Linked DNA regions of Elephas maximus indicus. The protein of the gene in region 1 interacts with the protein of each later gene in a pairwise test. Links are inferred from orthologs where the notes say so. Each region holds a gene or a part of one and is shown on either strand. Other genes may lie near its edges.

Region 1 (3,752 bases):
TTTAAAATTACATGTTGCACATTAGAAATAATTCTTTTATATTGGAGAGATATAACTTATTTAAAGCAACTCTAATATACTAGGATGTAATTTATTTTATGTCATAAAGCTACTAAAAATACATATTCTTCCCTGAGAGACCGAATTACTGGACTGAGGGCTGGGGGCCCTGGTCTCAGGGTACATCTAACTCAACTGGCATAACATAGTTTATAAAGAAAATGTTCTACATCCTACTTTGGTGAGTAGTGTCTGGGGTCTTAAAAGCTTATGAGCAGCCATCTAAGATACTCCACTGGTGCCACCCTATCTGGATCAAGGAAGAATGAAGACAACCAAAGACACGAGGGAAAGATTAGTTCAAAGGACTAATGGACCACAACTACCACAGCCTCCATCAGACTGAGTCCAGCACAACTAGATGGTGCCCGGCTACCACCACCAACTGCTCTGACAGGGATCACAACAGCGGGTCCCAGACAGAGCTGGGAGATGAAGAGAAAAATGCAGAACAAAATTCTAGCTCACAAAAAAAGACTTGACTTACTGTTCTAACAGACTGGAGAAACCCCTAGAGTATGGCTCCCAGACACTCTCTTAACTCAGTACTGAAGTCACTCCTGAGGTTCACCCTTCAGCCAAAGATTAGACAGGCCCATAAAACAAATTGAGACTAAATGGGCATATCAACCCAGGCATAAGGAGGAGAAGGCAGGAGGGTCCAGGAAATCTGGTAATGGGGAACCCAAGGTCAAGAAGGGGAGTTGTCGACACGTCATGGGGCTGACAACCAATGTCACAAAACAATATGTGTATTAATGTTTAATGAGAAACTAATTTGCTCTGTAAACCTTTATCTAAAGTACAATAAAAGTAAATAAATAAAATAAAAATATATATTCCTAACACCAATTTCCAAGGTCCCTGGTGGCACAATAGCTAAGTGCTCAGCTGCTAACAGAAAGGTTGGCAGTTGAAACCTACCACCAGCTCTGTGGGAGAAAAGATCTAGAGATCTGCTTCCATAAAGATTTCACCCTAGCAAGTGGCCATCTAGGATACTCCACTGATCTCACCCCTTTGGGAGCAAGGAATAATGATGAAAACTAAAGATACGAGGGAAAGATTAGTCCAAAGGACTAATGGACCACATATACCACAGTCTTTACCAGACTCAGCCCAGTACAACTAGATGGTGCCCGGCTACCACCACTGACTGCTCTGACAGGGATCATGATAGAGAGTCCCGGACAGAGCTGGAGAATAATGTAGAACAAAATTCTAACTCAAAAAGAAAGGCCAGACTTTCTAGCCTGACAGAGCCTGAGGAAACCCTGAGAGTATGGCCCCCCGACACCCTTTCAGCTCAGTAACGAAGTTACTCCTGAGGTTCACCCTTCAGCCAAAGAGTGGACAGGCCCATAAAATGAAACGAGACTAAAGGGGCATTCTAGCCCAGGGGCAAGGATTAGAAGGCAGGAGGGGACAGGAAAGCTGGTAATAGGGAACCCAAGGTTGAGAAGGGAGAGTGTTGACTTGTTGTGGGGTTGTTAACCAATGTCATAAAACAATATGTGTACTGTTATGAGAAACTAGTTCTGTAAACCTTCATCTAAAGTACAAAAAAAAAAAAAAAAAGATTTCATCCTAGGAAACCCTACGCGGCAATTCTACTCTGTCCAATACAGCTGCTAAGAGTTGAAATAGACTTGACAGCACGAACAATAACAACTGATTTCAATATTTTTACAAAATAAATAAATACAGAAACAATTGCTGTATGATAAATTTTAGAATGAATAAATCATGATGGTTTGAAATAAAAACATTTTTTGAAAACAGGAAAATTCTGATTCTGAAATAGAAACTAAAAAATATAAGGACTTTATATTTATATTGGTATGAATAGCCTATTCATACCAATTGATTATATTTATCTTAAAAAAAAAACAGTAAAACGGCTAATTTGTTTTTGATACATAGACTAAAACCAATAAATTTGCTGATATATTTATATGTCAGACTACTCTTTATCCATTTGTATATTTACATTTAATACTATCACAAAATGCCTTGCTTCCAGCATTTTCTTTTTATACCAAGCTGTAGTTTATAATTGCAAATATTCTTCAATATTAATGCTCATTCTTATCACACACATCCACAATTACACTAGATGTCATTTCAGAGCCTCAATTTAAGAGGAAAAGAAAAAAAGCAAACTTACTTTCACATTCCAAGTCGCCACAGTTTTTAAGGTCTGTCAACAGTTTTGTACTCTCCAGACTCTTTGTCAAAGAAATAACCAAAAGAAGGATTCTGTGAACTCCGAGATTCGCCATGCTAAAATGAACAACCAGGAATTCAAAATGAGCTTTAAACTGATTGTTCAGGTGGTAGATATGCCAGGCAAAACAGAAGATACCCTACTTTCTTCACTAAATATAAGAGAAAAAAAATTGAGTTTTTTTTTTTTTTTTTAATTCTTGGGTAACTACATTTTTTTCTCTCTTTTTAGTCTTAACTTGAGAGACAAACACTGTTCTCAATCTGCAGTGTCAGGTATCCAGATAACACATAACAGTTTAATAATTAACAGGGATTTTTAGTTGGACTAATGTCTTTATAAAGGTGGCCCAGTAAAACTGTCTCACTTAAAGGCACACTGCATACAACAGGATAGTTCTTAAACAGTCCTCCACGAAAAGGTAATCTCTGCCTAACGAAGTCTAAGGAAGATCAGTCAACAAGTATAAACTGAGTATTTGCTGCATGCAAATACCATCATCAGTGGAGAAAGTATATAGTTATATGTAGAAACAGTGATAACTTGTTAAAAGCACAGTTTTTGAAATACCATGATGAAAGTTATTTAAGAAAGCACCCGAATTTTCATATTAAAAAACCCTTCAGTGTTACTGTGAAGGTGAAATTTGTATTTCCTTAAGAATAAAAGGTAAAATGTATTAAGTACTTTGTTTCAGGCGGAAACCCTGGTAGTGTAGTGGTTAAGTGCTATGGCTGCTAACCAAGAGATCGGGAATTTGAATCCACCAGGTCCTCCTTGGAAACCCTGTGGGGCAGTTCTACCCTCCTATAGGGTTGCTGTGAGTCGGAATCAACTCAACGGCAATGGGTATGTTTCAGGTGCTATTTTAAATATTTAAGTGTATGATCTCATTTAACCCTCACACCAACTCTTTGAGCTAGGCAATATTATCATCCCCATTTTTTCATATGAGGAAACTGAGGCACATGGAAATTGGTTAAATCACATGCCCAATGTCACTTACTGAGTAAGGGAAGAAAAATTCAAACCTAGGCATGGTGACTCCCTATACCCTTAATCACTGTGCTTTGCCACCAAGGATCAAGTCATCTGCCATGAAAGATGTCCACTCTGTCTCCAACAATACTGTTCCAGAAACAGCAGCTACAGTATTAATTCAGGTTTTAAAAAGTATATATATATATGACAGAGAGAGATGTCCAAAAGAATGCTCCCTAACACTGTAGGAGTGTGTAGTGTGACTTCAGATGGTATTCACTTTCTTCTTCCTGTTTTTCCATATTGTTTGACTTTTTTTTAAATCAGTAAGCATGTATATTTTAAAATAACAATAAAGCTATTAAAATCAAGTCATCTGAATGTTACTGCCACTTCAAAAGAATCAAAGCCCTGTATTGGAAGCTTATGTGTAAAACAAGGTATTAGTAGATTGGCAGAACCCAGTTACCTGATTTCAAACTCA
Region 2 (3,752 bases), on another chromosome or scaffold:
GATCAACAGCAGTTAAACTTCAACCCTAGAACTGGGAAGAACAGACACCACCTCTTAGGTTCTTAGTAAATATTTTCCTTCTCTACCAGCTTCTTCTCTTTTTGAAAATGAGACAGACATACTAGCTTCAACTTGACTTGTCAAAGGGCTAGTCCATTTCAAAGTTCGTAACACCCTTAATAACAAGACTGCCAGAGAAGGTACGGTTCTTTGGGCATGTTGGTCACTTCTGCAAGTAATGGCACAATCCCTCTTCTTACACCTGTCCAATCTGAGTGAGTACGACTATGTATCTCAGGCCACTGAAGCGGGGTGATGATAAAAGAATATACGGCTGCGTAACTTAGGTCTATGTGGTGTTCACCAAAAATGTGCGTCCCCCCTCGAAAAAACTCTCTGAATGCTAACCATTAGCTGAACTAGTGATCCATTTTTAATGCTTACTTCCTGTCTTCTGCTCTCCTACCATGCATCCCTGAAATCTTAATGAAACAGGTAGCACAGTAAGTGACCCCACCACCATGGACAGTTAAAGCTGAGTCTTTCCTCTGGGATCCGAATAGCTGGAGCACTCGGGAAACTGTGGAGGTGCAGGGTGCACGTAAAGGAGAGCGCGGGGGGCGGGGGGGGGGACGGGGGCGAGGAGAGGGTGTCGCTGGACACAGCCCCGCGCACTTTGCAGGTTTACAGAGGTAGGGTCACGGAATCGGGCGCTTCTTGGACGGAACGTATCTCCACTACCTGCGCCTTCACCTAGGTGGGTCCCTTCGAGAAAAAGCAACAGTGGACGGATCACAGGGAGGGAAGCAAGTTTGTAGACCAGTTTCAAAACGCGTGCGTCACGCCCGCGGGGACCGGAAACCCGGTGGAGCTATGTGTGCTGCGATTGGCCGGAGCGGCTCGGAGTCCCCAGGGCCGGAAGTGCGCTGCGGTACCATGACTACGGGCGCGGGCGCTCCACTTCCGAACGCGAGCGCAGCGTACTGTTCCCATGGCAACGCCATTGTCTCCGGGGCCGAGCCCGGGAGGCCTAGGAGAAAAGCATCCCTGGCAGAGCGTCTCGCTACCGCAAAGCGACAGAACGAGCTCGTCCAAGTCCGGGAGCTTGACGCCGCCCTCGGAAGCCGAGCCCCGGCGAGGTACGCAGCGGAACCCTGGCCTGGCCGGCGAGGTCGCCCCGCTGATCGGGTTAGAACTTCTGTGGCTGAGCACCACCTACCAGAAAGAAGCTGGGAGGAGTTCGGACAACTAGCCGCTGGGAGGTTGTGGCGTCAGGATTCACGAAGTTGCTGCGGAACAGCAGAAAAGGAAGAAGGGATCTGTATTTGAGAGAGGGGTCAAAATTTGGTTCTGTAATTAAAGGTTGTGTGGAACCTCATGGGAACAGAGTTGAGGAGTTTAAGAGGTCAGACCCTTTCGACCTGGTCATGGTTCTGAAAGAGAAGTTAGTAAATTTTCCTCTCCGATTTTCAGATTGTGGATATTCCGGAGCCTGAGTCAGAGAGAGCGACTCAGGACTCAGGTGGAACAAAGGACGTTCTGCAGGGTGAAATGAGGAGCGGCTTGGTGGGCTTAATATTCAATAAATAACTGCATTCGACTTGGGTTTGATGTTTAAGCTACAGGGATAGCCATGAGAGTTGAATTTCGCAAGAGAGAAACCACATTTTTCTCCATGAGTTCCGACAATTTTCCCCATCAGCCCACAAGAGAACCAAAATAGACACGAGTTTTAGCTTCTTTACCAGGGTCTTTTATTGAATAGTGAAATGGCCCCAGGAAAAGGAAGGGAACTGACCTGTACATTGACCATACTTTGGTTGTACTTGAGAACTGGCGCTTTGCTTGGATCCAGCTTGCTCTCATACCTGCAAAAACATTATCTGACTGGCGTAGGAGATGGAAGTTTTGATGATCCAGGAGCTGTATGTAAATAAATATGCTGTAAATAGGTAAATGTGTTTGATTTTTAAGAGGAGAAAAAAGGCTGAAGATTTTGGAGAAGTAATGTGGAGTAGAAATTCGGAGAATGAAATTTAATTTAGCAACCCTGTTTAATTTCTGCTTTCCAAGGGTCTCCGTACATGAATGTGTGTAATCTATTTGTGGATTTAGGATGGGTTGTATATTTGGGCAGTTTCAGTTTAATGTTAACAGCATCTAATAGAGGAAAAACAGAAGAAGCTTCTAAGCGTTTTTGGCCACGCTGGCCTCACTTGTGCTTCTTGGTAGGAAGAAGATGCGAGCCAGCCCCATCCGCATTCCAACCGTCAACAATGACAGTGACTGGGACTCATGCTTCCATTTGTAAGTACTACAAAGCCTTGAGGTCACACTCACCAGTCTGAAACACTGGGGCTTTCCTCTCAAGGCAAACCTGGGTGAGAAGCTTAGTATGCACAGTTTGTAGAAGAGAAGGTTGAGCCTCTGTGATGTAGGCTTTTTCTTTTTTGTACTTTAAGCATTTTATTTTAACTTAGGACACGACTATATTTCTACACCAATTTACAATTTAAGGCCAAGACCATATCCTTGCGGATGAGTCACTGGTGGGAGTTCCCTATCATTATTTCTTATACTTTTTTTTGTTGTTGTTGTTAAAACTATGCATAGCACAACCTAAACCAATTCAACAATTTCTGCACATACAATTCAGTGACACTGATTACATTCTTCAAGCTGTGCAGCTGTTCTCACCTGCCTTTTCTGAATTGTTCCTCCCCCATTTCTGCAGTGTGTTTTTATAACAAGTCTGCTGTAAAACCCATTTGTACTTGTACAACCAATGCAGAATGGAAAATAATTTTTTTTCCTAACTTAAGGGAATGTTAAGTGTTTTAAAGTAAAGATTGAGTTAGTTGTAACAAGATCAGTGAAGTCAGAGAGCATTGTATATAACAGTTAATGAGTAAATTAGAATTCAGTTTCATGAAATAAAGAGATGATGAGTAAATAACAATTGTTCGTATCATATTAGCTAATGCTGTTGAGCACATATTATGCACTAGGCACTGTTCTAAATACTTTACACATATTAACTCATTTAATTCCCACAGCCATATGAGGAAGGTACTGTTACCCCATTTTATAGATGAGGAATCTGAATCAGAGAGAGCTGGGCAACTTACCTAAAGCCACACAGCTAATAAGTGGTATTCAGACTGAGCAGTCTGACTCCAAAGTCCATTAACTATTCCTCTATACCAGGGTTTCTCAGTCTTGGTGCTTTTGACATTTCGGGCTGGATAACTCTTTGTTTTGAGGCCTGTCCTGTGCATTATAGGATGTTTAGTAGCATCCCTATTCTCTACCCACCAGATAATAGTAGCATCTCCCCCAATTGAGACAACCAAAAAGTCACCAGACTTTGCAGAATAATCCACAGGGCAAAATCACTCCCACTTGAGAACCACTAAGCCGTACAAGTGCTGTACGAAAGAAATATAATGCACACCACAGATGCCAGCCACGTAGATAATAATTTAAAATCTAGTGGCCACATAGAAAAAATAAAGAGAAACAGGTGAATGTAATCGTAATACTATAATTCGTTTATCCCAATATATCTAAAATAGTATCATATAAACTATTGATGGATATTTTGTATCCTTTTTTCATACTAAGTCTTCAAAATCTAGTGTGTGTCTTATGCTTATGGTACAACTGAACTCACACTAGCTACATTTCATGTATTCAGTAGTCATCTGTGGGTTGTGGTTACCATGTTGGATAGTGCAACACTGTGCTCCCTC

Evidence for each region.
Region 2: the proteins of MIA2 (region 1) and TTC23L interact in binary tests that used the Homo sapiens proteins (3 or more experiments, as listed by UniProt). The two-hybrid records come from large-scale screens. The link is inferred for Elephas maximus indicus from reciprocal best matches to the Homo sapiens genes MIA2 and TTC23L.

The regions. Positions count from the first base shown.
Region 1 is NC_064828.1:51,521,973-51,525,724, reverse strand, and holds the start of MIA2 (melanoma inhibitory activity protein 2), read right to left. Parts: upstream 2,381-3,752; 5' UTR 2,343-2,380; coding exon 2,228-2,342; intron 1-2,227. UniProt on the Homo sapiens protein: Plays a role in the transport of cargos that are too large to fit into COPII-coated vesicles and require specific mechanisms to be incorporated into membrane-bound carriers and exported from the endoplasmic reticulum.
Region 2 is NC_064820.1:39,871,928-39,875,679, forward strand, and holds the start of TTC23L (tetratricopeptide repeat protein 23-like), read left to right. Parts: upstream 1-1,045; 5' UTR 1,046-1,899; coding exon 1,900-1,952; intron 1,953-2,232; coding exon 2,233-2,307; intron 2,308-3,752.